2 linked regions of the Caenorhabditis elegans genome follow. The protein of the gene in region 2 purifies or fractionates together with the protein of the main gene of each other region. This does not show direct contact. Each region holds a gene or a part of one and is shown on either strand. Other genes may lie near its edges. The genes, in order: mif-1 and cyn-9.

Evidence for each region.
Region 1: the proteins of cyn-9 (region 2) and mif-1 fractionate together in Caenorhabditis elegans (co-fractionation; one large-scale study listed by BioGRID). This does not show direct contact.

Annotation. Positions count from the first base shown.
Region 1 is NC_003281.10:11,846,209-11,862,492, forward strand, and holds mif-1 (L-dopachrome isomerase), read left to right. Parts: upstream 1-1,943; 5' UTR 1,944-1,946; coding exon 1,947-2,057; intron 2,058-2,106; coding exon 2,107-2,282; intron 2,283-3,056; coding exon 3,057-3,123; 3' UTR 3,124-3,314; downstream 3,315-16,284. Other genes in the region: ntl-3 (Not3 domain-containing protein), read right to left, coding at 203-253; Y56A3A.2 (Membrane-bound transcription factor site-2 protease), read right to left, coding at 4,295-4,391, 5,303-5,505, 7,342-7,764, 9,182-9,631, 10,637-10,825, 10,883-11,142, 14,760-14,988; taf-12 (Transcription initiation factor TFIID subunit 12), read right to left, coding at 16,271-16,284.
Region 2 is NC_003281.10:3,685,546-3,701,829, forward strand, and holds cyn-9 (Peptidyl-prolyl cis-trans isomerase 9), read right to left. Parts: upstream 14,096-16,284; 5' UTR 14,089-14,095; coding exon 14,001-14,088; intron 13,950-14,000; coding exon 13,822-13,949; intron 13,777-13,821; coding exon 13,573-13,776; intron 13,176-13,572; coding exon 12,852-13,175; intron 12,587-12,851; coding exon 12,449-12,586; intron 12,399-12,448; coding exon 12,351-12,398; 3' UTR 12,276-12,350; downstream 1-12,275. Other genes in the region: npr-15 (Neuropeptide receptor 15), read right to left, coding at 24-247; pdi-1 (Protein disulfide-isomerase 1), read right to left, coding at 14,307-14,483, 14,534-15,340, 15,391-15,774, 15,821-15,910. UniProt on the Caenorhabditis elegans protein: PPIases accelerate the folding of proteins. It catalyzes the cis-trans isomerization of proline imidic peptide bonds in oligopeptides. Thought to function as a catalyst in the folding and modification of cuticle collagens.

The sequences.
Region 1 (16,284 bases), 8.1 Mb from region 2:
AGTTCTCAGATTTCGGTATACCACCTTTAAATGTACATGAATCGACGAAATAATATGGGAAAAGCTGTCAAAATATGCAATAAAGGAAGATAATTTCAAAAAAAGTTGATTTCAGACACGAAAAAGTTGGAAAATTGGAGATTCTAGATGAAATTAGGCACCGAAATTCGTTTATTTGAGCGATTCCTTCGAATAAACTCACCTTTTTGAAGCATTTGTCAATTTCTGCTAACAGTTTTCGCTTTTCAGCCATTGTACTGCAAAAATAAATGTTTAAAATTTGAAATGAATGGGTTTTTTGTTCGAAATTATGGAAAATGGAGCGTTTTTCCTGCAAAAATCGGGTTTTCTGGGTTTTTACCGCGAAAAAATACACAAAACTATGCGAAATTACCGATTTTTAGGCCAATATTGAAGTTTCAGCGCATTTTTTACGCTGAAACCTCGAAAATCACCTAAAAATCGATAATTTCATACTTCTGTGCATTTTTTGCCGAAAAAACGCCTGAAAAGCCTAAATTCAAATCTTTCGCGTGTTTCCGCTAAAAAAATTCGATTCTATAAGATTTTCAGACATTTTTCCGGAAAAAATCAAAATTAAATGTGAAATTATTGACTTTTAGGCAAAAATTTGAAGTCTGAAAATGATTTTTTAGTGGAGAAATCTGCCTAAAATCAATAATTGCACATTAATTCCCAATTTTTTGCGGAAAAGGCCTGAAAATCTCACAAAAAAACGTTTCAAGTCAGATTTCACCGAAAATAGGACAATTTTAGCAGGAAAACCACTGAATTTTCGCGAAATTGAAGAAAAAACCCTCCATTTTCCATAATTTAAAGCACAAATCCCGGAAGAATTGAAAAAAAAGAGGACGAAAAAAAAGTTTTGAATGAGGAAAAACTCGAGTAAGTGTGCGTCAATGTGCAGCAGAAAGGGAAGCGCAGAGAATAAAAGATGCAAAACAAGCCCGTTGGAGAAACAAATTATCGATTATATGCCGTAATACCCGCTAAAAATCGCAAAAAACCACGAAAACATGCAAGAAATCGTCCGATGAAAGATGATAATGCCGGCCAGGAGAAGCGAGAAGACCACCATGTCAACAAAGTCCGTGAAAATCGATAATTTTGAAGAGAAAAATGACATGAAAATATCGAATTTGTGTGGTTTTTGTTCGATTTATTGTAATGGAAACGAGAAAATAAGCGAACACTGGAAAATAATTGGATAAAAAAATTAAAAAAAAAAACAATTAAAATGAATTTCCGCGTCATTGGCGGTTTTTGGGACAACACAATTTATTTTTTGAATATTTCATTGCAATAATCAAAAAAAAAGCCATGGAATTATTAGATTATTTTAAAATCGATGCTTAATTGGGAAAAACAAGCAATTAATTGAATTTTTGGGCCAGAACCCAAAAAAAACTGACTTTCAAAGGATTTTTCGGTAAATTTCCCCGATTTTCAATCAGAAATTCCCATTTTCTATTAAATAATTGAATTTTAAAACCAAAAATCCCCCCAAAACCAAAACCGAAACGTTGCAAAAAAACATTTATTGCAAAAAAACATTTCCGGACGAATCATCTGACGAGGTACGGTCGACAATTCGGGGAGGGCGCTTTGTACGCAAAAGTGTTTGCGTACATTGTCAACCGTACTCTCAGCACTTTGTTTTTTTGTTTTTATTCTTATCTAATTTCTCATTTTTAATGAGAAATACCCCCCAAAACAACCAAATTTCGGGGGGAAAAACCGAAAATTTCCACATTTTTTCATTTCGCAGCAGCTGGAATACAGTATATCGCATATTTTAATAGAAAGAGCTGCGACAAGGAAAACTTGGCGAAATCTGGCCATTTAGGGTCATTTGGAGCCAAAATTCAGCTCTTTCTCCGATTTTTCTCTCTAAATTCCCTAAATACAAGGAAATTTTCCAGAAAATGCCAGTTTTCTCCATCAATGTCAACGTAAAGGTCCCTGCCGAGAAGCAGAATGAGATCTTGAAAGAGTTGTCAACTGTTCTCGGAAAGCTTCTCAACAAGCCGGAGCAGGTATCAACTGAAAATCTGAATAATCTACAACGAGAACACATAATTCCAGTACATGTGTATTCACTTCCACGAGGATCAGGGAATCCTGTATGCTGGGACCACTGAGCCAGCAGGCTTTGCCGTGTTGAAATCGATCGGCGGAGTTGGAAGCGCTAAGCAGAATAATGCGATTTCCGCCGTCGTTTTCCCGATTATTGAGAAACATCTTGGGATTCCAGGAAATCGGTACGGAGGCCCCACAGAAAGGAGGCCCCACCACGGAAAAGGGATCTGCGAGAAGGCGATCTGTCATTCGAAATTTTTCGATTTTCAGCGTTAAAATTACGGTTCCCGGTCCTCCTATGTTTTGTTACATTGCGAAAAAGTTGCGGAAAAGCAGCGCCGCACAGAAAAAGAGGCGGGGCGTGGTTTCGCAACCCTGCCGCACGGTTTTACGACCTAGTTCAAAGTTTTTTAGTAAAAGAATGATGAATTTCTTTTCCGCGATGCGAATTCCCGAATGAAGCCCCGCCCAATTCCGTACCGCAGGTTTGCAAAATTACGCTCCGCCTATTTTTCTGTGCGACGCTGTTCTTTTTTTGCAAGATTCACTGATCGATCATTTAATTTCAACAGTACTGCAAAATTTTTGAAAATTTAAAACCAAGAACTGGGGGGGCTTAACTCTGGAATTTTTTTCCACGGATCAAAATCCCCCGAATTGAAAAAATCCCCCCACACCCATTTATTGTTTTGTATCAATTTTTCCGTTTTTTCAGGTGCTTTTTGCAAAATTCACGGGTACATTTTTTATCAAAAAAAAAAAAATTCCAAAAGTAAATTTACAGTACTCTTTTAAGGCGCGCACCTTCCCGGAATTTAAGTTTTTTAATAATTTGTCGTGTCGAGACCCCTGGTACCGTATTTTTTGGCGCCAAAATCGTAAATTTTGAAGATCATGCTACCAGATCCACATCTTCCCGTGGTGCCTCCTGTGTGATTCGACAATTCAAATTTCAGCCTCTACATCGAATTCGTCAACCTCGGCGCCGCCGACATCGCCTACAACGGTCAAACCTTCGCCTAAATTCCATTTTTTCACACCTACTTATGTACTTATTCCCTCACACTCCACGCCGTTAATGTAGAAATCAATAAAAAAATAGAAGCAGAAAAAATACTAATTCAACAGCAAAAATTCAAAAAATTAGGAATTTGTAGTTCATTTCAACAGTGCAAAATTGTGTAGGGAAAAAGAATAAAAATTTGAAAAAAATACAAAATTAATTTCAAATTATGAGGCTTTAAACCTATGTGCACTACCAGATAAAAGTGAAGGAATTGTTTTAAAAACAAAAAAAAAACATCTTCTGGTAAAGAAGAAGAACCCGGGATACAGGAACAAAGTGGTAAATAGAAATTTTGCGAAGAAATTTGAAAGGGCTCAAAATTTTGGGAAAAAAATAGCCAAAAATTCGCTAAAATCTGAAATGATGTCCCATTACGGTTTGATCTACAAAAAATGCGGGAATTTTTCGCCCAAAAAATGTGACGTCAACAACCATTGCGAAATCAGTTGATCTCCCGCATTTTTTGTACACCACGCACTGAAATAGAGCTTTTATGAAAATTTCCCCCCCTATCTGGAATTAAATAGTTGGTACAGGCACATTTTAGGTCGCTAGGCGCCTGCCTATGCCTACCTAATTCAACGAACTAGCACGAGATAAACGCGATAAAGGGTGAAAAATTGATAAAAACCATATTCCAACCGCTGCAGAAAGGAAAATTGGTGAAATTTCAGATTTTAGCAATTTTTTGGGTTTTTTTTTTCGAAATTTTGAAGTGTTGGAGTAGTGTCAATGGGAATTTTGCTTGGAAAAAGCATAAAAATTGTCTCAAATTCAGAAAAACAAAAAAAAAATCGAAGGAAAAATCCAACGAAAACGCTATTTTTAAAATTCCCTCCAAAATGACAACTCCGCCCACTCCGCCTGATTGGTCGTGCAGTTCTCAATTTGGAGGGATTTTGAAAAATCGCCTTGGATTTTTCATTCTTTCTCGATTCGTTTTTCTTTTGTGGTATGCCTAAATTTAAGACAATTTTGGATTTTTCGAAGCAAAAAGAAAAAAGATTATCACATGGAAATCGGAGAGAAAAAATCAGTATAAAAATGACAGATCGGGCGGGTAGAAGAAGCAATAAACGACGACACGTAAGAGGGGAAAAAAAAAATTTTTTTTTTAATAATTCAATACTAGTTTATGGCTAATTTGACGAAACCAATGACAATATTAAGGATGAGCACACCGGTGCCAAATGTTAGAATCAGGTACTGGAATAGTTCACGGCGTCTGGAATAATTTATGGGTTTAAGTTGAAAAAGAGAGAATAAAAAAGATTAAAAAGCCAAGAAATGGGCGGGGCTTTATTCGGGAACTCGGATCCGTGGGAACAAAAATTCCAAAAAAAAATCACATTTTTAGTCTGAAAACGTGTCAACAAAATTAGTGCTTAGTTTTTGAAAAAAGCTCAACTAAAAATTATGGAATTTTCGTTCTCGCGGATCTGGATTCCCGAAATTAAACTCCGCCCAATTATTGGCTTTAACTATTTTTTTTCTTAATATTGCGGTGCTGTTGAAATAAGATCTGTGGATTTTGCAACAAAAAAAAAACACTGTCGCACAGAAAAAGAGGCGGGGCATAAATTCGCAACCCTGCGGCACGGTTTTTCGTAGATTTTCTCAAATAAAGTTTCGATTTTTCTTCTTTTCTTATATTTTTTCGAATGAAAAGTTATTCTCAAAATAATCGAAAAAAAGAGGCTGAAATGAGAAAAATCTCAATTTTATTGAAAAAATCTACGAAAATCTACGAAAAACGTGGAAAACCGTGCCGCAGAATTGCGAAATTAGGCTCCGCCTCTTTTTCTGTGCGGCGTCGCTTTTTTTCCTGCAAAATTCAGGGATCGAGCATTTAATTCCAACAGTACCGCAATATGAGACAAATAATAAATAATAACCAAGAAATAGGTGGGGCTTTTTATTCGGGAATTCGGTTCCGTGGGAACAAAAATTCCAAAAATTCCCATTTTTAGTCTGAAAACGTGCCAACAGATTTTTTCTCTCAGTTTTTGAACAAAAAACTCAACTAAAAATGTTGGAATTTTCGTTTTCGCGGATCCAAATTCCGCGAATTAAGCTCCGCCCATTTATTGGCTGTTTCGCATCAATTTTTCGGGTTTTTTTTGTTGCAAAATTTACCTAACGCTCAAGCCGGAACTCTTCAATAGCGTATGAACTATGAATTGCCCATCAAGAGCATACACAGGCATTGCATTGAATAGGCCAAGTGCCAGAGACAGTGTGAACAGGTATTTGGCGGTTAGCTCAAAATGTTCGAGCCACGAGATGCTGGCGAACGTGAAGCGCGGAGTGAACGACGATATTGACACCATTTCGAGCATCTGCAAAAATTTTTTGCGAAATTTTAGATTTTTAAAGAAATTTTTGGATTTGACGGTCAACCTGTTATTATGGGAACACAAAATTCCGAGAATGCATATTGCACAACATATTTGACGCGCAAAATATCTCGTGGCGAAAAGAAAACTACAGTAATCCTTTAAATGACTACTGTAGCACTTGTGTCGTTTTACACTGCAACTTTTTTCGAACGAGGGACGAGGCAAAAAGGTTTCTAGGCCATGGCCGAGTCCCCGACAAATTTCAGCGGCCATTTATCTTGCTTTGTTTTCCGCGTGTTTTCTTTTGTTTTGCACCGATTTTTTCCGTTTTTTCTTATCAAAACAAATAAATAAATATTTTTTGCAGATGCTAAAACAATTTCCAAGTGAAAAAATTGTGAATTCAGCCGGCAAGTAGCAGTGAAAGTGGGCAATGTAATATGATGGATTACGGCTATACAAAACCCAAACTTTTTCTGAAACATGATATATATGCTTTTAAGATGCTGAAAGTACCTGATTTTCATAACGAGACAGCTAAAAAAGTTTTTAGATTTTCAAAATTCAACATTTTGTGCCAAAATCTCGACTTTTTTACCAAAAAAGTTGAATTTTGAAAATCTCAAAACTTTTTCAGCGGTCTCGTTATGAAAATCAGGTACTTTTAGCATCTAAGCATCATATGTATCATGTTTGGGGAAAAGTTTGGGTTTTGTATTCCCGTAATCCATCATATTACATTGACCACTTTTACCGCTACTTGCCGACTGAATTCACAATTTTTTCATCTGGAAATTGTTTTAGCATTAACAAAAAATATGTATTTATCAGTTTTTATAAGAAAACACGGGAAAATCGGTGAAAAACACATGAAAACAAAGCAAGTAGAAAATGTCGTAAAATGTCGTAAATTGTGTGCAAACACCGATTTTTCGCATTTTTTCTCAGCCCTCGTTCGAAAAAAGTTGCAGTGTTTACGGGCTCGTTTTTCGAAATGAAATTTTGTTAGCGAAATTCAATTTTATTTACTATTAATTTGTGGTCATTTTTGTGTGTGTGTGTGTGTTGTTGTTTGAATAATTTTATCGATTAATAACTAATTTCCGTAAATCGACACAAACGGCTACAGTAGTCATTTACAGGGTTACTGTAGTTTTCTTTTCGCTACGAGATATTTTGCGCGTCAAATGTGATGTGCAATACGCTTTCTCAGAATTCTGTGTTTCGGTAATAGGTGTCGCACAGAAAACGAGGCGGAGCGTCGTTTTGCAAACCTGCGGCATACCGGCCAAGGCTGTCATAAAATCGAATAACCGAAAACCGAAAATTATCGATTTTCTGAAAAATCGAAAAATTTTAGTTTTTCGATTTTATAAAACATCGTGTACTCCTCGTAGACGACTGTCAATTAGTTTTTCGCAAAATTCTACAGTTTTTGTCCTCCAATGCGAAATAGCCAAGAAATGGGCGGAGCTTAACTCGGGAATTTGGATACTCAGAAATAAAAATTCCATAATATTTTTAAATCTTAAAATGTATAAACAAAAGCTCGACTAAAAATGATGGAATTTTCGTTCCCGCGGATCCGAATTCCCAAATTAAGCCCCGCCCATTTATTGGCCAAGCATTTTAGACAGAAACCTATAAAGTCGGCGCAAAAAACTAATTCACACTTTTCCAGGAGGTGTACACACGAATACACGAAGCTCCGCAAAATTTTCACAATTTCCCGGGGCAAAAATTCCCGCATTTTTTGTAGATCAAACTGTATTGGGAGTGCCAATTTGGGACAGCCTGAAACCACGGAAAAAAACCAAAAAAAAAAGGCTTCTGTACCTCATTGAGCTGCCCCACAAAAAGAATAGGCTTATTTCGATTCGCGAGCTCAATTTTCACAAGCCGCGTTCCATTGTGTAGTGCCGGATAGACACAGATCTTCTCCTGATGTGCTGCTGGGGTTTCCTCCGTTTTACACGGCTCACTGGCGTTACAGAGCGCCTGCTGAACCACATATCTCGCATGAAGGCAGCTATACTTTGTGATCTTCTTCTCTTCAGGCTGTGCAACACCACCGTAAGGTAAGGCATCATCTCGGCCGCCGCCGCCGCCTTCTAACCCGAGAAGAGCATTGAGCTGTGGAGCTCGTGTCTGTGTGTCGACCGACAACTTGCTGGCTTTCTCTTCTCGCTGGAAACAGACGTGAGCGGTGGTCACGTTAAACTCGTCACAGCACAGAATTTCGTCGGCTTCCGTGCGGTGCTGAAAATCGGCTGTTTCAAAAAATTTGGACCAAAATAGCCAAGAAATGGGCGGAGCTTAATTCGGGAATTTGGATAAGCGGAAACGAAAATTCCTTTCTTTTTAAGTCTATAAAAGAAATTTTTTTAGTTTTTGAAAAAAAAAATTTGAAAAAAATTCCCGCGGATTCGAATTCCCGAAATAAGCACCGCCCAATTCTTGGCTATTTTGCATTTGCATACTTTTTTAAAATTTATATTGCGGTGCTGTTGATGATAGATCCTTGAATTTTGCAAAAAAATGCAGCGTCGCGCAGAAAAAGAGGCGGAGCGTAATTTTACAATCCTGCGGCACGGTTTTTCGTAGATTGTTTCCAATAAAGTTTCGATTTTTTGTGTCATTTTTTCTTTCCAATGAGAATGTTATTCTCAAAATATTCGAAAAAAGAAAAATCTCAACTTTATTGGAAAAAAAGTGGAAAAACTGTGCGACAGGGTTGCGAAATTAGGCTCCGCCCCTTTTTCCGTGCGGCGCCGCCTTTTTTGCTGCAAAATTCAGAGATAGATCATTAAATTTTAACAATATTTAAAACTTTTGTAGCTCAAAGCAGCGTCGCATAGAAAAGAGGCGGAGCGTAATTTCGCAACCCTGCGGCACGGTTTTCCGTAGATTTTTCTTGTTTTATTATTATATTTTTTCGAATGAAAATGTTACTCTCAAAATATTCGAAAAGATTCGAAAAAAATAGAAAAATCTCAATTTTATTGAAAAAAAAATCTACGAAAAAAGTGGAAAACCGTGCCGCAGAGTTGCGAAATTAGGCTCCGCCTCTTTTTCTGTGCGGCGCCGCAAAATTCAAGGATCGATCATTTAATTTCAACAGTACCGCAATATAAAAAACATGACAAAGAAAAAAGGGGTAAATTGGTACAAAATAGCCAATAATTGGGCGGGGCTTAATTCGGAAATTCGGAAATTCGGATCCGCAGGAACGAAAATTCCATCATTTTTAAGCTGAATTTAAAAAAAAATTAAAAAATAAAATTTTGTTTATACATTTTTTGACTGAAATTTTTGTTGGAATTTTCGTTCTCGCGGAACCAAAATCCCGAATTAAGCCCCGCCCGGCTATTTCGCAATAGTCAAGAATTGGGCGGGGCTTAAGTTTGGGAATTCGGATCCACGGGAACGAAAATTCCATCTTTTTAGTCGTAAAAACACAATTTGTTGTTAGTTTTTAAAGAAAAAAGCTCAGCTAAAAATGATGGAATTTTCGTTTCCGCGGATCCAAAATTCCCGAATTAAGCTCCGCCCATTTCTTGGCTATTTCGCACTAAAATTGTTCAAATTTCACCAATTTTCTCCGTTTTTTCTCTGTTATACTGCGGTAAATTGGAGCAATTTAGGGCGAAAACATTCAAATAAACGAAAAATTCACATTAAACGCCGTAGCCGCCTCGACAGATTCCCGATCAACACATCTCCCGTTATTCATATTTTTCGACGTTCGAATACACCTCCACCAGTCGGCAACAGTCTCCACACGACACTCATCGACACTTTTCACAACGTCTCCAGCGACAAGGCCCGTTCGCGGATTGGATAGGCCTGAACGAACATCGACACCCCGTACGGACACGCCGTAACCGTTCGCCAACACTGGTGACAGAATGACTGGAGACGCATGAAACATGGCCATTGCGAGAAGAGCCAGTAGGAGATTGTGCCAGATTCCGGCGCCGAAGATCTGAAGTCTACGGAATGTGGTGGCACGTTTCAGAGTGACGGCTTCAATGTCTGTGAAGGCACCCGGATATACTGCAAGGATGAAGATGCCGAATCCGTTGACTGTGACACCGTTTGATGTGGCCGCCCACGCATGACCGAGCTGCAAAATATTTCGATTTTTTTGGCCAAATCGGCGGAATTGAAATTTCTGGTAAAGTGCCAGAATTTGAATTTCCGGCAAATCGGCAAATTGCCAGAATTGAAACTTCCGGCAAATCGGCAATTTGCCGAAAATCAAAATTCCAGGCAAATCGGCAATTTGCCGAAAATCAAAATTCCCGGCAAATCGGCAATTTGCCGAAAATCAAAATTCCCGGCAAATCGTCGGAATCGAAATTTCCGGCAAATCGGTAAATTGCCGGAAGTGAAATTTCTGGCAAATCGGCAATTTGCCGAAAATCAAAATTTCCGGCAAATCGTCGGAATTAAAAAAGGGAAATTGCCGGAATTGAGATTTACGGCAAATCGGCAAATTGCCGGAATTGAGATTTACGGCAAATCGGCAAATTGCCGGAATTGAACATTTCCGGCAAATCGGCAAATTGCCGGAATTAAAAACTTCCGGCAAATCGGCAAATTGCCGGAATTGAAATTTCCGGCGAATCGTAAAATTGCCGAAATTGAAATTTCCGGCAAACCGGGAAATTGCCAGAATTGATATTTCCAGCAATTTGCCGGAATTGAAACTTCTGGCAAATTGCCGGAATTGAAATTTCCGGCAAATCGAAAAACCGGCAAATTTCCAATTTTGCCTGAAATACGGCAAATGCCGAAAATTTTCACAAAATTGTGGTTGTGCACATTTTTTTCGCTGGGATATATCTAAAAAAAAAAAACAGGAAAAATCTTTTCGAAAATCCCTCTAAAAACTTCCGGCAAAATTGATGTTCGGCAAACCGGCAAAACGGCGGCATAACTAGGTTTAAAAAATCGAAAAAAAAAATCGATTAAAAAAAATCGATTTTCGAATTTCCAAAAAATTAATGGAATTTTTTTTTTTTGAATTTTTTCACATTGATAATCGGTATCGGGAGCATTAATAAGGCCTTTAGAAACATTTTGAAATTTTTTTAAAAAATTTTTAAATGCTCAGGTTATCCCGAACCTCATGAAAAACCGCTGCAACTATCAAAACGAGCATAAAAATCGGAATATGTCCCCACGGAAGGTTGAATCCAGGAATTATCGGAACTAATCCCCGATCTTCAGATTTCTGCCCATCCTCAATCATATCGTATTCGGTATCCTCCATAATCACCGGGTTATGAATTTGATCCGAATTTGCTGCTGTTGTCTGAAAAACTTTCGTTCAATTTAATATAAATTCTTCATAGATCTGAATCTCCCGAACCGTCTTCGCAGGTGGTGGTGCCACGGCGGGGCTCAATGAAGTCAGAACATGGTGCATCGATCGATACTCCATTCCACGATAAGCTTGAACTTTTGGTCGAGCCGTTGTCATCCATTGTCCGACATCTTTGATTAATAAATGTGACATGTAGAATGTCATTCCGAAGAGACAGATGATGGAAGCAATGACACCGCACGCGAACCACATTCGGATCACGAGGATTCGGCATTTCAGGCGACGTGATTCTTCGAAAAATATATCTGCAAAAAAAAATGTCACGTGGTGTCTCATTTTACTGCAACTTTTTCCTCACGAGAGACGAGGAAAAGTGGTTTCTAGGCCATGGCCGAGGGGCCGACAAGTTTCAGCGGCCTTTTATCTTGCTTTGTTTTCCGCTTGTTTTCTTTCGTTTTTCACAGCCTTTTGCCGTTTTTTCTTATTAAAACTGATAAATAAATATTTTTTGCAGATGCTAAAACATTTTCCAAGTGGAAAAATTATGTATTCAGTGGGCAAGCAGCGGGGAAAGTGGTCAATGCAATATGATGGATTACGGGAATACAAAACCTAAACTTTTTTTCCAAACATGATAAATATACCGCTTAGATGTTGAAATTACTTGATTTTCATAACGAGACCGCTGAAAAAGTTTTGAGATTTTCAAAATTCAAATTTTTTAGTGAAAAAGTCGAGGTTTTCGCACAAAAAGTTGAATTTTGAAAATCTCAAAACTTTTTCAGCGGTCTCGTTATGAAAATCAGGTAGTCTCAGCATTTAAGCAGCATATTTATCATGTTTCAGAAAAGTTTAGGTTTTGTATTCCCGTAATCCATCATATTACAATGCCCACTTTCACCGCTGCTTGCCCACTGAATACATAATTTTTCCACTTGGAAAATGTTTTAGCATCTGCAAAAAATATTTATTTATCAGTTTTATTAAGAAAAAACGAAAAAATTCGGTAAAAAACGAAAGAAAACAGGCGGAAAACAAAGCAAGATAAATGGCCGCTGAAACTTGTCGGCCCCTCGGCCATGGCCTAGAAACCACTTTTCCTCGTCCCTCGTGAGGAAAAAGTTGCAGTGCATTTCGCTTTGTTCTACAAAAAATGCGGGATTTTTCCCCCCCCCAAAAAACTGTGTTTAATGTCATTTTTCATAAAAATCTGAAAATTTTCGCTCAGTTTACGATAGTGGGTCTCGACGCGAATTCGTGTAGTAATTCGGGTCTCGTTGTTAGGTGGTATACCACGTGGTGCCAAGCTGTTTCATTACGGTTTGATCTACAAAAAATGCGGGAATTTTTCGTCGCCCAAAAACCTGTGACGTCAGCACGTTCTTAACCATGCGAAATCAGTCTCTTCTCCCGCATTTTTTTGTAGATCAACGTAGATCAAACCGAAATGAGACACTTTGACACCCCGTGAAATGTTGGTTTTTGACATTTCGGGGGCTTCGAAAAATGTTCTATTTTGCGGTTTTTATTGATTTATTGATTTCATTTATTTATTTATTCCCTCTCAACTATGCGAAATTTCAAGAGATAATATTTTCCGGAAAATCGAAAAAAAAAGTTCTAAAAATTAACAAAATTCCACATTTTCTCAAATTTTGGTAATGTTGATGGCAAAAAAAAACATTAGAAACATATTCAGGGAACACAAAATTCTGAGAATGCGTATTACACAATATATTTGACGCGCAAAATATCTCGTAGCGAAAAGAAAACTACAGTAATCCTTTAAATGAGACTACTGTAGCACCTGTGTCGATTTACGGGATCTCGATTTTTGAAATTTTTTTTCGAAAAAAAAAATTATTTTTCAAACAGAAAACGCTTACTCATTAAAAAAATTCTATTGATAAATTTTTTTTTGCAAAAAAAATACAAAAAAATCGAGATCCCGTAAATCGACACAAGCGCTTCAGTGAAGAATTACTGTAGTTTTCGCTACGAGATATTTTGCGCGTCAAATATGTTGTGCAATACGTATTCTCTCAGAATTTTGTATACTCGTTGATATTTTCGTTGAAGTTTTCAAGTGTTCTATTTTCCGAAAAATCTGAAAAATCGAAACAAGTGCTCTAAAAATTAACAAAAATCTTTTTCCATTACTATTTTTAAAAAGAAGAAAAAAATACAAAAATTTAGGATTTTTTTTTTGAAATTTCGGAACATCAAAAATCGAAAAAAAATATAGAAAATGGACAAACGTTGGAATTTTTTACAGATTTTTGTTGACTTTTTTATAGAAAAATTGCAAATAGCTCCCACGCAACTTTTGGAATTTTACAAAATTTTTACGGAAACTTCGGCATTTATTAATTTTTAAAAATATTTTGCCTAAAATTTTCAAATTACTTAAAATTTCAATTTTTGTTGGGAAAATTTTTGAAAATTTAGAAATTTATTGCTGTTTTCGGAATATTTGATTTCTTAAAAAATAGTTTCGGAAATTTTGATTTTTTTGGGAAAATTAAAAATTTAAAACTTTCGGAATTCAAATTTTAAAAATTTAATTTTTACGCGGGAATTTGAAAAATTTCCGCAAATTTGTCGGTATATATATTAGGTCTCCAAATAAGTTCCGGGCCAAAAATCATAACTTTGTTCGCTGCGTATCGATTTTTATGAAACTTTGGGAATTAATGTTATCAACCATGATCTTTCATTTGACAATAGTCACAAAATTTTTTGACCGTCCGAAGTGCCCAAACTCAGAGCCAATTTTTTCAGGCATTTTCAGATCTCGCTTTTTTTCAGGTTTCAATTGAGGTCTGTGTGCGGATTTTGCTAAGTTTAGTACACAATGTAAGAAAACAAAAAAAGTTTTGGAAAAAATCCGTCCAAAAAAATTTTTTTCGTCGGTCGTCAACAAATTTTCAAAAAAATTTTTGTCGAAAATTCTTGATTTTTTATACAAATTTGAGTATGAAATTTGGATCTCGAGAAATACTCCAAAAACTCAAAAATATTTCGAAAAATATATGTTTTCTGCTATTATTTCAGTGTGACGCACTAAATTGAAATGTTTTGTATGTGTAAAAATAGTTTGCACTTGGTTACATCATTTTTGTATAAAAAGTCAAAAATTTTCGACAAAAATTTGTTTGAAGATTTATTGACGACCGACGAAAAAAATTTTTTTTGGACGGATTTTTTCCAAAACTTTTTTTGTTTTCTTACATTGTGTACTAAACTTAGCAAAATCCGCACACAGACCTCAATTGAAACCTGAAAAGAAGCGAGATCTGAAAATGCCTGAAAAAATTGGCTCTGAGTTTGGGCACTTCGGACGGTCAAAAAATTTTGTGACTATTGTAAGATCATGACTAATGAAAGATCATGACTAATGAAAGATCATGGTTGATAACATTAATTCCCAAAGTTTCATAAAAATCGATACGCAGCGAACAAAGTTATGATTTTTGGCCCGGAACTTATTTGGAGACCTAATATATATACCGACAAATTAGCGGAAATGTTTAAATTCCCGCGTAAAAATTAAATTTTTAAAATTTAAATTCCGAAAGTTTTAAATTTTCCCAAAAAAATCAAAATTTCCGAAACTATTTTTTAAGAAATCAAATATTCCGAAAACAGCAATAAATTTCTAAACTTTCAAAAATTTTCCCAACAAAAATTGAAATTTTAAGTAATTTGAAAATTTTAGGAAATATTTTTAAAAATTAATAAATGCCGAAATTTCCTATTTTCTATTTTCGGAATATTTGATTTCTTAAAAAATAGTTTCGGAAACTTTGATTTTTTTTGGGAAAATTTAAAACTTTCGGAATTTAAATTTTAAAAATTTAATTTTTACGCGGGAATTTAAACATTTCCGCTAATTTGTCGGTATATATATATATATCCGTACCCCGCTTCTTCTCCTCATCAACAACAATATCGGTGGGTTTTTCACTTAAAAGTGTATCTTTTGGAGCGGGTGTGACGTAGAATCGAAGCTGAAACGGTGAAACTTCGATTCCGAATCGATGGGAAAGACGGAGATATGGCTCGAAATGGGCGACTCGGAGCACATAATCTATCAGAAATACCGCACTCCACGCGATTAGGAAGATCGCGATCGCACTTGTCGCCAGCATATAGTTTTCTGCAAAAAAATGTGTGTGTGGATTTTCAGAGAATTAGTATTCCTAAAACTGGTTTTTTTTTTGTGAAATTAGGGAATTTTGAACTCCCCGACCAATCAGCGTCTCCGAGAGCTCCGCCCACTTCGTTTGATTGGCTGGAAAGTGGGCGGAGCGAATCGCTGATTGGTTTTGCTGTTTAAAAATGGAGTTTTCACTTTTTTGGAATTTTTCTAGATTTTTTGTATCTCAATTTCGTGGAAAAAATTTATTTCAAAAAAAATTCGATGAAACATTGAAATTAACTGAAAATAAATAATTTTGCGGAAAAATGTGTGCAAAATAATTAAAATTTAGAAAAAAATCAATGAAATTTTTGAAAAATGATTTTTCAAAATTTTCGGCGATTTCTCTAAATTTTTTACAATTTTTTTTTAAAACAAATATTAAAAAATTTCGACGGTTTTTGAAAATTTTTAGTGATTTTTTCAAAAATCCAAAATAAATTAGGATGAAAAAAATTTTTTTTCTATCAAAAAACTCTCAACGATTTTCTACATTTTTTGGCGGTTTTTCCAAACTTTTTACGATTTCTCCAAAATTTCAACGATTTTCTAAATTTTCCTCAATTTTTCTAATTTTCCCCGATTAAAAAAAAAAATTTTTCACGATTTACCGAAAGTAATAATTTTTTCAATAATTTCAACATTTTCGACGATTTTTTAAAAAAATTTTTAATGATTTTCAAAATTTTCAGCGATTGTAAATTTTTAAATTTGTGTCAAATTTTTTTTTAAATTTTCAACGGTTTTTCAATTTATTAATGACTTTTCTAAATTCTATTCAAAAATCCGATAAAAAATTTAGAAAATCACTGATATTTTTCAAAAATCGATAAAAAATTCGAAAAAAAAAATTTCTTAAATTTTTATTGGTTTTTCACATTTTTCGCATTTTTTCTCATAATTTTCAAAGATTCAAATCATTAAAAAAGTTAGAAAAAAAAAACTCACATATAAATTTGCTCTTTGCTCTTCACTTTAATCGCATTCTCGGCCGATTTTCTGTCTGAAATTTGGATTTTTTCAAGAATTTTTCAAAAAAAAATTCTAATTTCTCACGAAATTTACCAAATCTGAAGTGTTGGAGGTATTACTCAAGGACTTGAAACCTTTTAAAAACCAAAAAAATGAAGAAAAAAAATTTGTCATAAAAAGAGGAAATTCATCGTGGAAGACCCGGAGAAAAGGAGGTTTTTGAATGGAAAATTAAAATTAAAACAAAAAAAAATTAATTTTTAAAGTTTCTTGA
Region 2 (16,284 bases):
CAACTGTCCCCTTTCCAACTTACCAATCAGTACTTCCAAAAAAGACGGGCGGTATCCATTCAGGTATTGTAAATATTAAATTGGCAAGATCTGCCACTGCCAAATTGAGCAACAAGATATTCATCACAGACTTTCTCATATTCCTATCACCTGCGATCGCATAGATCACAATCACATTTCCAATAATTCCGACGACTGAGAGAATTATGAAGAAACATACGTAGGGGATGCCCACCGCTACGGACATCGGATCCAATGGTACGCTGAAAATATTCGACATTTTATTGGAACTTATTTTGATTATTAGGTTATAAACCGCAAAGGTTTAAAAAAATTTCAACTTAAAGAATTCAAAGTTTTTTACAGAAAAAATGTTTGTTTGCCGCACTTCACGCGCTTTTATTTCAAACAAAAAATTTATGGTAAAAAACTTTTAACTACAAATTTGTTTTTTACAATAACATTAATAAGTGTTTAGTTGATGACTTTTCTATAAAGAATTATTTCGCAGAGATATGAGCTTTCTTTTGAAAATTGGCCCTTTAGAGCTTCGTTACAGTGCAACTTTGCCATTTTTGAGAGCTTGCTTTTGAAGTTTGGTAACTGAAAACGTAAGAGAAACCGTTTCTAAACTAGAACTATTGAATGAAATAGGTTTCAAGTCTACTGGTAGTCTCCTGAAGGTTGCCGTAGTGTAAGAAGGATGTCGTAGTAAGCCTACTATGAAAGAACTACAGGCACAGTAGGGGAAAGGTTTGCTCATGCCGGGACGCGGAACTACAATTTCTCCTACTGTTTTAGGCATAAAAAATTTCAAAGCTAAAAATGATTGAAATAAAAAAAGGTTTTATTGGCTTCTATTGGCTTCTTCTACAATAAAATAAAAATCGAACAAAAAATGTCTGTTGAAGCCGCTAATGTTTTATTCCATTTTTTAGACAATCAGAATCAAAATAACAGAACAAAAAATTATCAAATTCGAACTCAAAAATAAACTTTCAAAAGAAAACTGCCGCGAATCAGGAAGTCAAGAGGTCTATTTTAAGAAGGACCTGCCTGCTCTCTAAAAATTCATCGAATAACATCTTTGAAAATGGTAATGGGGTTATTCAAGTAGTGTCGGAAAATTAAAAAGTGTAGAAAAATTACGTCACAACTGTATTCAAGTAAACAAAAACATGTATTTAAATACATTTGTGACGTCACAAATGTATTGGAATACATTTTGCTACATTACTTGAATAACCCCATAAGAGTATATATGGAAATGAGCAATTGAATTGAGCAAATGAACAAGGTTTAGGTTAGTATCAGAATTCAACTATTTTCTAAAAAAAAATTTTTTAGAAGAACAAGAAAAATTCAAAAATCTAATAGCATTCATATTTTTGAATTCATTCACTATGACTTTATGACGTGTTGAACATATGTTTTGACATCTGGTCTTGAAGGTATAAAATGTCTTGTAATAAGAAGTCAGAAAACTACGAAAAATACCAGGTTTCTTAGAGTACAGGAAATTATAACGGGAGCTCTGGATACCGGAAATTTAATTTTTTTATTTTTTTGGTAGGCGAAAATAAATTGATGTTATGTTCTATTATGAAAAAATCTAAAAGAATTGGTGCAATAAGTCCTTGAGCCGAAAATCTCCAAAAATCCACAATGCGCTATATTATAAATTTTTTCTACAAAATTAAGAAATTTCGTAACTTCACCAATTCCAAAGTTAAAAGTAGCTAGACACAAGAGCCGTCCTAAACCTTCGCAGGCCACAATTATGTCATCAAGAAAATGCTTCTGAGAATAAAAAAAATAGTTTGGATAACAAAATATTTAAGTAAAAAAATATAATCCTTTGATACTTGAAAGTGTATTAGACTAAACGGATTATAACCGATCGGATGTCATCAGAAGTGTCTAAGAGGGTAACATGTAATTAGGCAGGAAATCGAGATGTTTTACACTTTCAAATTGAGTGGGCGATGAAGTTTGTGGCTTGAGCTGGAAATGAGCAATGTTCGGAAGGGGGCCTGGACTTTTCTAGGTGGCCGTGAAATGAGAAAATTCGGATATGTTCTACTAATTTTTGAAAAATGATGTCAAATTGAAAAACTCGACCGTCAATTTTCAAGCTTCAAAATTATTGCCATATTGGATTAGATGGTTTTTAAAAAGAATAAATACATATTTATATAAAAAATAAATTTCCAAGAAGTTAACAAAAACCCATCATCAGATTACTGAGAAAATAAAATTAATCATATAGCAGTTGTCACTATAATTAAAATTACAGATTACTTAGAACTTGACCAAATATTGGCGTCACCTGGTTTGGAATTGATGTATGATTGGTTGAGAATTTTTCTTAAATTTAAATATTAAAAATTGGAATTTTAGAAAGATTTTTCCAATAAGTTGAGAACATTTTGAAATTTTTTTTTAACTTTTACAGAACTATTTCAGAATTAAAAATGAGATATTTCTGGAATTTTTAAAACAACTTTCAAGATAAAATTTGTTGAGAATTTTAATAAATTTCAAAAAAAAACTCCAAAGAAATTGTTTAAACATTTTTTTGAAATAAAAAAAACTGAGGAATTTGTACAAGTTTTAAAATTCAAAAATATTAAAAAATACAAAATGTTTTTGTAGATCTACCAAACATTTTTGATGACTAAACTCGCGTCAGCTCATTAGAAATATATGTTTTTAATTAGTAATTTTTTTATGATTTTTCTAGAAAAAAAAAACGTCAGTTTTTACTGCAAAGAAGCCAAAATTAAAGATTAGAAACTAAAAATCTCTAAATCGAAAAAAACGTTGCATACAACCACGCGTCATGCCCTTCTCAAGCACACCACTTATTGCATATTAGATGATTTTTTAGGCATTAAAATTTCAAAAGATCACAGTGCTCAGTACAAAGAATTACAGAATTTTAAATCGAAGAACTCAAAACATCACAAATGAAATTACGCGCAAACTTTGACAATACGAAATTATTTTTTATTTCAACAAAGCACATTGTCATGTGGCTCGACAAATGCTGAACAAATATTATACTTTTCCTTCCACTAAAAATTTAATTTAAAAATTGTTTCAAAGTCCCAAAAAGTGGAGAAAAGGTGCATCAAAATGCATTCCTAGAAGTTGTTAGAACAAATAAGGATTGAACTAAAAGATGCTCGGAGCAAATCTCAAGCTCTTTTCTGCAAATTGTTGTGAGCCCCTTCTGGACAGGAAATACCCTCCTTGTGGTCAGGAATGTCACGTATTAGTGAAAATTGAAGGTTTTTTGAAGTTAATTGAAAATATATATTGCTAGTCTTTTCAGTTTTGCCCGTAAAATCTGATGCATTTTTCCCTAATGCATAATATTTCCCGAGCAAATTTAAGAACAATTTCTTACAGAAAATTCAATTTCTACAATAAATTGAGAGACAAACTTTAAAAAAAAATGCTCGTGAAATTTGAAATTACAGGAATGTTGCGCACAAAATGCGTCATACGCGCGAACGATTTCTATTTTTGACAGTGAAATTTGAACGCCATGGAAGCTTCGGAGCAGAGTTTTGCGCGGAAAATCTGATGCATAATTATTTTGAAAAATGTGCGTAAGATGTGATGCATTCCGTCCAGAAATAGGTCCCAATGCATTAGATTTTACGGGCAAATTTTTTTGAAAAATTTATAGAAAATTTGTTTAAAAATAGATTTATTATAAAAAAGTTATTATTATAAAAAGTTAGACATTAAGAATAAAAAAAATGAAATGTGGCGTTTTACAAAAATATCCATAAAACATGGTGCATCGAATCCAAAAAAATGTCTAATGCGCTAGATTTACCGCGCAATTTTCAGAATTTTCTGGTAGAATAACTAAAAAAATGGCTTGTGAAACATGGTGCATCGAAAAATTGTTTGCAAAATATTCAATACACCATATTTAACGCGCAAATCTCAACGACAGTGTAGTAGTCACAAGACAAAATTACCAATAAAAACGATTAAAACGAACGTCAATTGAACTTTCTTTGTGTGCTCCCTCCTGAATCAGTGCAAACTTGGCAGATTTTAGAAAAGGGAGCACACGAGGGGGCAATTCACACAGTTGAGGCAAAATTTTCCGTGTTGAAACAGTGTTGAACGATTTATGTAACGAGAGAATTAGAAATGGCTGAGCAAATAGGCAATTCGGTTGTTGGGGGTCGCGATGGAAGAAGAGCTGCTGGTTGCCACATAAAGTACTGTAGACTGATGATCGAAAAGCGGAAGTTTTTTTTTGCTTTGTTAGTAGTTTGGAAAATTATTTCTTGAGGGTTAATGGGTAACTGGACATTCTGGAAATTGTTGGACAATGTTCTTTGTGAAAAAATGTATCCAAAAAAATTATAGATTTTTTTTTGAAAAAGACAAAACTTTTTTGAAGCCCATCGGACGACGAACGTTTAGATGCATACTATTAGGAAAATTTTTAAAACAGAAAAAAGTCTATCTGAAATTTTTTTTCGGGTTTTTTCCACTTTTTTTTTTTGAAAAATTAGAAAAAAATTAGTTAAAGTTGTTTCCAGCTTTAGAAAGCATAAAGAACTAATTTTATGCTTTAAGAAAATGTTAATTTTTCAATAATTTATTTTGGAGGGAAACCGGTTTGGAAAAATATTCCGATTTTTTCAAAAAGCTTCCATAATGTTTGTATACAAAATTTCAAAGTTGGAACTAGAAAATTGTGAAAAAAACGCACTGAAAACATTTTAGATCGACTTATTTTGCAGCTCAAAGTGCTCCTCGGCATCTGAATTTTTCTTAGTGGACTGCTACTATAAATTTTTTTTCTCAGGAACTGGAAGAAGTCAGAGAGAACTTCTATACTTTTTTCCTAGTATGCAATCCCAAATGAACCGTGAAAGCTACAAAGAATTCCAAAAATCTTGCAATTTCTCCTGAGAATATTAATCTGGCTGAAAAAACCTGTTTGTGTCTGATTTTGAGGTATATTAAAAATAAAAATATTAATAACAATCAAAAAGCGATCAAAAAAACATGGAAGTAGTAATTCACAGGTCTGGTCTGCAGAGATTGCTTAGGCACATAGGCAGGCACGTAGGCAAGTAAGTGGTGCAGATTCGAAAAAAAACGCTTATTTAACATAAAAGTAAAAGAACAAACAGTAAATTAAGTTGTTGAGCTAAAGTGCTATGGCATATTCTAATTCATGCAAAGTAGTTATTTTTCAGGGTGAGCCGCTGACTTTCAGATTGTTGTTTATAATAACTTTTTCTCAGAAAATACCAGAAAATACATCTGAATGTGACGTTTTTCAGGAAAAGAAGAACAAAAAAAATTCATTTAATAGACGTTCAGTTTTTCTTCTTTTTCAGTTAATTACTTTTGTGATCGGTTTCTCGCTGAAAAAATGTATTTAAAAATTATAATTTCTGCTACTTTCTGTCAGAAAACTATTCGCCTTTTTCTGTCTGCTGCATAAAAAATTAACGTGCGAATTCGTCAATCTCATGGGAAAGGAAAAAATAAAGACAAAAAGGGAATAAATGTTGATTCCGCATTCTGATGTGAAGAGAAAAAGAAGTACTTATCTCGTTTTGTTTTAAGTGTGGAATGACGGATAGGGAAGTCAAGCTTTTTCAGAAAATTTTTGAACTTGAAAATGCATCTGCGCTCTATTGCAGTTTTCTTGATCTTTTAGAATTGTGTGTTAAATGTGGTGCCTTGAAAGTCGCTGAACCAGATTATTGTGCAAATTTATGTGGTGTCAGAGTGTCCCATTTCGGTTTGGTCTACGTAGATCTACAAAAAATGCAGGAGCAGACTTCTCAACTGATTTCGCATGGTTAAGAACGTGTTGTTGTCACATTTGCGAAAAATTCCCGCACTTTTTGTAGATCAAACCGTAATAGGACTCTCTGACACCACATGATATTTCTAATTTAAAAAAAGAAGGTGGCAGGCCGGCAGTTAAGATAACTTTTGAGTAAAAAATAGTTCTACTCCGCAAAAAAAACCCAAAAACCATAGATCTTTGTTACTTCCCTCTTGAGATGTTTAATATTATAATGACGTTAAACAAAAAATACATGAAGAATAACAGGGGTCGACGCACAAATTAGGTTAGTCATATTGCTTGTTAAAAGAAAGCATCACGACGAAAAGCATATTGAAATATCAGAAAAACAGGCAAAAACCGGAAGTTTAAAAATTACGTCAAAGCAAGTGTGCTCTACTGTTCATCACTAGGTAGAAAATATCTCGGAGCATTCTCACAGGGGCAAATGAATGCTCATTTTGTCATGGAAATCTTGAGCAAGAAAAAACCATTAAGAATCCACAAACGTTACGTTTATTACGTCCCAATTTGAATATAGACTCGTCTTGAAACGAAAAAAAAACGCATAAAATTGAAAGACATTAGACTTTATTGCAATTCTGTCATTTCCGTTGGATATCTTTTTAAATTTATTTTAAATTTTATGTATTTTAATGGGAAAATTTGAAAAGAGATTTTTGAGCAAAGTTTTGCAGAAGATATGGTGCATTGAGCCGATGAATAATTTTGCGAAAAAATAATTTTTGAGTTTTTGAATTTTGCGTTAAGCTATTTTTATACGCGGAATTTAAATTTCACGATAATTTTTCAACAAAAATTTTAATTTGGAACCAAAACTTGTTGGAAAATATCCGAATTTTTAAATTCGCGCCAAATTGTTCAAAAAATAAATTCTATTTTTTAATTTTGCACATCTATTTAATCTAATCTAATGGTAATCTAGATATCTATGTAAAAATATAAATTTAAATTTCGCGCCTAAGATTTTGGGAAAAAAAATTGAAAATTGAATTTTTGGAAAAATAGTCAAAGTAGGAATTTGGAAGGAAATAGTGCCAAAAATTATTTGATCAATTTTTAAAGGTAATAAATTAATTTTTGAACAGGTCTTGAAGCGAAAATAAAGCCCATTTAGACTCCACCCATAATATCTCACTTCAGAAATTTATTTTTCAAAAAGTTCTGAAAAAAATCAGTGGGAGGCTTGACGTGTTTGTTCCCAAAAAAAAATGTTTCTTGTCCACATTCATTTTTGATGAGTTCCAATGGACAAAAACAAAGAAATTCTGGAATTAAATTTCATCGCTTCAATAGTTTTCTAAAATATTCTAATTCAGAATTTAAAAAAATGTAACACAAACATTTGGTTCAAAAATTGAAAAGAGCCAATCTTCTGGACTCTAAAATGATCACACATCTTCCGGTGGAATCTTCTTTTAATCGTGCAAATTTAAATGTTGAAAGAGAGACAGAAAAGGGAGAGTTAATGTAATTTTATGCGACACACTCGGAACATTCTGGAAAACGTTTTCCAATTTTGAAGAGTGATGGTAAAACATAAATTTTAAGGTTTCAGCTAGATGATAGCAAAACAATTTGAACTGCGAAGTTATGTAAAAAATTGTATTCTACATTTTTGTAGTTGCCAAATTTTTGATATCATTAAAGATGGACGAGATATACCGTATATTTTCTATTAGTGCTGCATCTCCAGTAGTACTGCAGTCTCTAATAGTGCTGCATTCAAAAAGGGTCCAAAAAATAGTGCTGCAGTCTCTATTAGTGCTGCACCCCATTTTCTATTGAAAGAGTCACTTGACTGTTTCGATATTTTTGGGTATTTTTTTTGTATATTTTTGATGATTTTTTGATAATTTACGAAATTAATTGAATTATTGGGTCTTTTTGTTACAAAAGTTCGCAATTTTTATGAATTTCTGCTTAAAAAAAAGAGCTTTTGTGACTAAAAACTAGTGATCTATAATTGAAAATAGCCGTTCGAAAATTAATGCTGCAGTCTCCAGTAGTACTGCAGTCTCTAATAGTGCTTCATTTAAAAAGGGCCTGGAAATTAGTGCTACATGCAGCACTAATAGAGAATATACGGTATAAGGAAAAATCGGGGGAAATTTTTTTTAAATTTTTTGGAGGAGGGGCGGTGTCAAATGTGTATTTTTGTCAAAACTGAAATTCTTTTTTAGAACTATACTACTGCAAAAATGATATTTAATTATGTTTTTAGTTTATTTGAAATATAATTTTTTAAATTTTTTTTAAATTCAGCTCTTAAAAAAATCTCAAAGTTTCGCGTATGGCTAACATCTTAATGAATTTTTTATTAGTTTTTAAAAAGTATGTTACCTTTTAAAATAACAATCTTGAAACACAAAGTCCATGCAAAAAACATAAAAAATCTGCGAGTGAAATTGAGAAGAAAATTAGATTTCAAAAGCATAAACGGATATAAATTCAGAGACCACTTGTTTAATTTTATTTTTGCAATTGGAGTTCTCACAATCTGGTTTATTACTGGAAATTAGATCGGGTCAGGTGCAAATTTGGAGTACTGTAGTCCTTGTGAAAAGAAGGAAAATGGGATTATTTAGTTCAAGGAAAGGATTTTTAAATTCTGTTTTAATTCTGTTTTCAAGCCAAGAAAACACAGCGTTCGTATTACCCAGACGAAAAATACGACACCCGGTCTCGACAAGACAAAATTGTTAAATGAAAAAAGGTTTGCGCCTTTAAAGAGTACTGTAGTTCCAGTTTGAATAGATTTTTATTTAAGAAAGTATATTTGTTTATTGAAAACCAAGCAGAATAAAACAATCAAAAATACATTTTAAAAAAATTTTAAAAATCGATAAGAATTCGGCAGCAACAAAAGAAATTTGGAGAGTACAGTATTCTTTACAGGCGCACATCCCTTTCTAGATATGTATAACACAATTTTGTCGTGTCGAGACCGACCATATTTTTCGTGCAAAAATCGCAAAATTTCGGGTCTGCATAATAATTAAAAGCGTAAGAAACATTACATATCCTTGAAAAAAATAACTAGTTTTACATGAAAAATTCATTTTTCACTATTTTGAGATTAATTGAAGTTCGCAACAACAAAAAATCCACCCACCTTGCCATATTTCTCAAGTGAAACACCAAATGATGCACCAAGAGCTGTTCGAGAGAAAAAAAAAACAGGAAAAAGGCGCGAGAGCCGGATGTCAACAATGAGATTATTGCGCCAAGAAGGTGCTATCGAATCAGAAAAAGCTGAAAAAAACTGCTGAAAAACACTCAAGAATGATATAGAGAAACAAGTCTTGAGGGGAAAGAAGAGGAACCTTGATAGTTCAGTCTGAAAAAAAAACAAGTGCTCGGGGGAGGATTCGAGGAAAAGCGGGAGTCTAGAGAGCAATGGACTCAGTTTTGAGATTTAATTGAGAGGCTTCCACTTTAATTCCTGAAAACGAGGCAAAAAAATTGATTTTTATTCGATTTCATGCACGCTTTTTCAGACATTTGTCGTGAAATGCGTTTTTTTTTTGCTAAAACTGATGTAAGAATATTTCGATCGTGTCGAGACCAATAGTCGCAACACTTGCCGAAAAAGGCCGCCTACTTCTCATGTGTTTTGTTAGTTTAATCCGATTTTCAATATTATTTTTTGTGCTTTGATTTCAGATATTTCTAATATTACATTAGCGACTCAAACAACTAATCTAAGCGCAAAAGCGCTCCAAGGCAAAATGAAAACGCTCCTCCCACAACAGCTGGGTCTCGTTAGGTATTGGCGGCAAAACCGTAAATTCAGACTTTTTCAATTATTTTCACCGATTTCAAAGCCAAAGTGAATTATTGAAAATTAATGTAGAAAAAGTTCTCTTTTCAATAATTTTTGTATGAAAAACGGGAATAAATGTTCAAAAATGCTAGAAAACCGGTGAAAACCATTGAAAAAATTCAAACTAACGACTTTACCGCCAATACCCAACGAGACCCAAATTACGGTAGCCGGAGCATTTTCATTTGTCCGTGGAGCGCGTCTGCACTTTGTTTCAGTTTTCTGCGTCTCTACAATATGTATAATATCTATAGTTTTTTATGTCACAGAAAGAGGATTTTGGAACATAGCCGTGAAAATAATGGTGGCCGAGTTTTTTTTCTTCTCGCGGCCATTCCTAGGCTTTAGGCCACACGGCCTCCACCACGAGAAATGCGCAGAGAGAGCGCAGAGAAAAAGGCGGTCTCTGCGTCTCTCACCTCCACAGCATGGCGAGAGTGCGCGCTCAACCACCTCACTTAGAAGGAGTCGGGAAGAAAGGAAAATGCATATTTCTGAAAAGAAACAATTGGAACGGATGCAGAGTACTGTCCTCTACAGTCTGGCATAAATTTCACAGAATAGTTTTGTCATTGAAATAAGTGAAGAGAGTGAACATAATATTACACATTCCCCTCTAAAACGAGCAAGTTTAAGATTTTTTCCCAAATTTTTTTTGTAAAATGTATTCAATATATTCCCAATTAATGAGTTAATACAAAAAAACCCCAATAAATAAGTTATGAGAGAAACTTTTTTTGACATCAAACATTTACAGCTCAAAATTTCAGCACTTTCCGGAAGCTAGTGACCGTAAAATGAAAGATTTCAAAAATCGGAAAAAATACGATTGTTCTAATTTTTAATACGCACATTTTGACATATCACACATGAAAATTGGTCAATGTTGAAAATATGTTTTTTGATCTAGAAGATTGACTACAGTACTAAAATGACCAAATTTTCAGGTTTTTCGCAATTTTCAGGAAATTCTTGGCTTGGACTGAAAAATCGGAAAAAATACGATTGTAATAATTTTTAATACGCACAAATTGACATATCACACATAAAAATTGGTCAATGTTGAAAATATGTTTTTTGATCTAGAAGGTTGGGTGGCGACTACAGTACCCGCTCTACTGCGCCCTCACACTTTGGATGCTCCTATCTCCGCTTCTATGAAAGTTACAAAAAAGTTGTCAACTAACAAAATGTTCAGTTTGACATTGTGAACATTTTTTCTGTTGACAATATTTTTCTAACTAGTAAGACAGATAATATAGACCCCAAAAGTCGTACTTATGAGAAAATCAGAGATCAGTTCATAACTCAAAAAATAAAGACTTTAGAAGAAAGTAGTCAACTGCAAATGTGTTAGATATCTTATATAGAGTATTTTCCCAATAAAAAAACCAATTTTAATGTTTAGGATTTTTTGATATGGCCGGTTTAAGATGATCACTTTTCAAAAGTCAAAATCTCCATTATTTTTGTAGATAGAAATGTAGTTTTTGCTGGTAAATGTTGTTTTTTATCTGCTTAACATTTTCTCAGTTGAAAATATTTTTGTATCTTCAGCGAGGACAGAGATTTGATGGTTTTAAGAGAGGGTACTGTAACTGGGACTTCATTCATCAAATCATAGCTGTATCTTTTTAGTGGAACGAGATATCAAAAAATTGTCAACTAAGAAATGTTCACCTATTTGTGATGTTCATTTTGTCAGTTCACCGCTAGTTTCTATCTCCAACGCGAAAAAAGTTGTAGCTGTTCAAAGTCCATAAAGTACATACACTTCACCACGAGAAGAGCGAGAATCAACCCGAAGCCACAGTCGTACATATTTTCTTTATTTAAACCGTTCAAATACACTCATCGTATCATATTTAACAATTTTCAATCTAAAAAAGTGCTCTTCTGTCCATAATTCTTCTAATTCCATCTAATTCTTGCTAAAAACCACTGAAAAACAGCTCGTATTAACTATTTATTGTAAGTTCCGCCTTCCCATTTTATCAACTTCACTATTTCTGTGAAAAAAATTCAAAATTTCGTTCAAAAATAGCGATTCTAGCTCAATTTCATGAATATCTGTTGAAAGCGGCGGCGAGGCAAGGTGGTCGTCCGCAAACGCGCAAACAAAAAGCGAGAGAGTGTGCGCATTTCTCGTGGTGGAGGCCGTGAGGCCAAGAATAACGCTAGAAATTTCCAGAAAACGTACCTGAAAACAGAAAAAAACCTTTTTTTTAGTTTTCTAAACTCAAAAAATATTTTTTGTAAGAAAGTTGAAAAAAAAAGTTCAACCAATTTTCGAAAAAAATAAAGAAACTCCAAACAAAACCAGTGGGAGTACCGGAATCAAATCAAGCATAACGATTTTTTAGTCTTTGTTCTCTCTTTTCGAAGCTTCTCGAGTAGGAGGAGTTGTCTCTGAGCCCCCGACAAAAGAATATGCCAGGTTCTCACAAATTATTCAACGAGTGAGGTGAGAGAGAGAGAGATCAAAGGTATCCGTGTCAGGTACAAATCTGAGAAGAGAAACCGGAAGACTGCCACAAGAAATGCGTGTTTTCCGTTGTTTCTTCTTCTATTTATAAAAATAATAAACTAAAAAATTTGTATTGCACCGAGCTGGAAATAAAAACAACGAATTAATTAAATTAATTTTAAAAAAAAGATTTAAACGAGATCTTCTTCTGGATGTTTGTGGCTGTCGTGAACCCATTTCTGAAACAAAAATTCAATTTAAAAATTATAATTATTCAGATTTAAAATACCGTCGGCGCATTTCTTCTCCAGTGCTCCGGAGTCGCAGATCTTTCGCGTCGGAAGCGTACTCCTCCACGCCCACGTACAGTAATTCCGTTTTCATCTCTGCGAGGTTGGCTTCGCGAAGAATCTCCTCGATTTTCTTTCTGAAAAAATCTAGTTTAAGAAATTAAGAAATTTAACTTTAAAATAGTTTCAAAAAATCGGGAATTAATTTTGGTGGAAAATGGAGAAATGACAGGAAGATGCTAAAAATTAGATTTCTCCAATCAAGTAAACTTTTTTTTTTGCAAATTTTTTCCATTAAAAATCGAAAAATCAGCGAAATTCAATTCTTGATCGATTGATTCGAAAATATTTGGTTCTTTTCGTGGCGAGACCTGGAACCGAATTTTTCATTACAAAATAAACCTTATAGTCGCGATTCTTCTCATGAGATCTAGATCTTGATCTTCTCGATCGATACTCTCTTCTCTTATCATTTCTCATTTCATGCTTCTTCTCATTGTCATCATCACGATAGAGCCAAGATTTCGGGCATTTCGGGATCTCATTGTCCCTTGCGTTATTATTTTTCTCTTCGAGAGCAGCGGCGAGCTCTTCATCTGTCTTCAATGGTTTCTTCTTTTTCACGAGTTCTCCACAATTGGAGATCAAAACTTTTGCGAGTGGTTTCGATTTATCATCAACCGCAAGATTGTCGATGTAATCTACAACGTTTTGTCCTTTGACAACCTGGAATTCAATTTATTTTAACATTAAAGTATAAAAGTATCGTAATTTCAACAGATTTTGACTTAAAGGCGCACGGCTTTAAAGAGATGGGTCTCGGCGTGCTAAAAATTTATAGTAGTTGGTTTTTTTGTTCATTTTTCTGTTATTTTGAAATCGTTTTAAATCGGTTTTCCCTGTAAAAATGATTTTATGAACAAAACATTACTTTTTATTTTAAAACTGAAAAACAATTTTTAACAAAGTGAAAACAGACGCAAAACTTCAAAAATGACTACCATAAACTGTCTTTCGCGCCGAGACCCATCTGAATAAATCTCTGCGCCTTTATGTTAGAATCTCGTGAAATCATGATTTTATAATTATAAAATTAATATATTCTTTAAAATCCATTATGCACCTCTCCAAAAACAACATGTTTTCCATTGCAATGTGGAGCTGCAGCCGTTGTGATGAAAAATTGAGAAGAATTTGAATTTGGTCCTTTATTGGCCATTGACAACAAATAGGGCCTTGAGTGCTTTAATTTGAACTTTTCATCGTCAAAGTATCGTCCGTAGATCGAGAATCCTCCTCTACCATCTCCTTCTGTGATGTCTCCTCCCTAAATCGTCAATTTTTCAAAAATTTCAGCTAAAAACCGCCGGACCTGGATCATAAACTTCTTTACAATTCTATGAAATTCGTTTTGTTTGTAATGAAGCCGTGCTTTATTATTTGGAGTCATTCCGACTTCTCCTGTGCACAATGCTCGAAAGTTTTCACATGTTTTAGGTGCTGAAAAATAATTGATTTTTTTTAAATTAATTTTCTGGGCAGATTTCTAACCATCTTCGACAAAAAGTCGTATTTCAATTCTTCCAATCAGATTCTCATCGACTGAAATATCTAGGAACACTCTTTTTTCAGCGGCCATTCGCAGCCTGAAAATGGTTTTGGTTTCGATTCGAAATTTTAAATTCCGAAATAAAGAAATATAATTTCACAGAAGCCTCAACGAAACAAAAAACATTCTCCGGGATTCAATTTTTAGGGTTTTATATATATAATATATACGGATGGAAACAAAAAAAAACGAGTAATCACAATTCAACGCCGTGACTTCAAACAATAAATAACATATATATTATTAATTTAAAGCTCTTCGTGATCCTGAGATGCGGTTTCAGATTCGGAAGCAGATCCAGCATACTTGTTGACAAATTCTTCGAACTTCTCGAGGTTTCTGTCTCCATCATAGTCGACTGGGGTAGAAGATCCGGCTGGCCACAGCTTCAGGGTTGGGAAAGAGTTGACCTTGACGTCGGCAAGCTGAAAATGGAAATAATAATTATGAATATTGATACTTTCAAAATTCTTACCTCGTTGAGAGTAGCATCAAGCTTTGCAATGACAACATTTGGGTTGGACTCGTACTTCTCAGCAAGCTCATCCCAAACTGGAACCAGTTGCTTGCAATGTCCGCACCATGGGGCGTAGAATTTGACGAAGACAGTCTTGGTTTCATCAAGGGCAATTTCGTTGAAGTTGGAGGCGACGAGAACCTTAACTGGGAGTGCATTCCAATCTTCTGGAAGATCTTGAGCCTTCAAGTCTTGAGCAGACTTTCCTTCCAAATATGAGTTGGTGAAAGCTTCGAAATCTTCTCCTTCTTGTGGCTTGAACTTCTCAACTTGATCGGCAAGGCTGACAATTCTGTTGGCTGGGGTGTTCTTGGCATCGACTCCGAGGAACTCGAGAATTCTTGCGTTCTCTTCAACATCAACGTCGAGAAGAACAAAGACGATCTTAGCACGGAACTTCTTAGCGACCTCAGTGAACTTGGCAATAGTCTCATCGAAAGAAGAGTCTGACTTGCGGATGATCAAAAAGTGGAACTTTTTGAGGTCTCCTCCGACGATTTCTTGAGCAGATTCGTGGGTGAACTCGGTCACGGCAGAGAGCTTGTAAGCGTGGAGCCATTGCTTAAGAGCGATGGTGTTGGTGATTTCAGCTTCAGCAATTGTGCTAGTCTCGCTGTCGTCTCCATCAGTGCGGATAAGAGCGACTCCATCTTCATTCAAAGATGCGGCAGCAGCAACCTCAGCAGAACCGGCAACGGCGAAGAATGCGTCATCGACAGAATCAGCAACTTCGTTGTAGATGGTAGCAGCATCAGATTTCGCGTCCTGAAAAATAAATAAATTAAATAGGTTGTACTTTTTATGTAAAAAAATACCTTGAAGTATCCAAGAACAACAACTCTGGTCTTTCCCTTCAATTCCTCGAGTTGCTCAACTGACTCAACAGTGGTAACAGTTGGTCCACTCTTCTTCTTGACCCAATCGACAATTTGAGCGGTGGCGCGTCCTCCGGTGTATTTCGTTGGCTTTCCACTCTTGAAGTAGAGGATAGTTGGATATCCACGGACCTCGAACTTGGATGCAAGAGCTTGGTTTTCGGTGGCGTCAACCTTGGCGAGCTTGATATCGGATCCTTCCTCCTTCAGCAAATCGGCGGCTTCGTCGTACTTTGGAGCAAGAGACTTGCAATGTACACACCATGGAGCATAGAATTTGACTAGAACAAACTCATTTCCATTGATAGTTTCTTCGAAATTGCTCTGAAAACAGTTTTTTAGAAGATAATGATCAGAATAAATGTTATACTTCAGTGAGAACAAGCACGTTTTCGCTGTCAGCAACAACTGCTCCGATTGATGCGACCAGGAGGAAGATAAAGGACACTGACAGTGACATAATTACCTGAAAATTTAAAAAAATAGTAATAGAAAATTTGAGGAAGTTATCATTGAAGAGAAAAGAGGTATAGACAACGATAAGTGTGCAAACAATACGTTAGCCATTACTTTGCGATCAAAAAAGTAGGGTATGAGTATTGACAAACGCAGTCAATTTTTCTTTTAAAAAATCCTCGTCGTTCACAACCTGCTAGGAAGAGTGCGAGCGACGAGAAGAGAAGGAGAATAAGCGCACGTTGTAAAACAGAGTAACGAGAGAAAGAGAAGAGACCGTGAACGCCCCGGCAGAGACAACGAGGACCGCGAAACTGCAAGACGAATGGACAGTGCAGTATTGACACGTCAGCATACGCGTGTACGGGAGATGTCCAC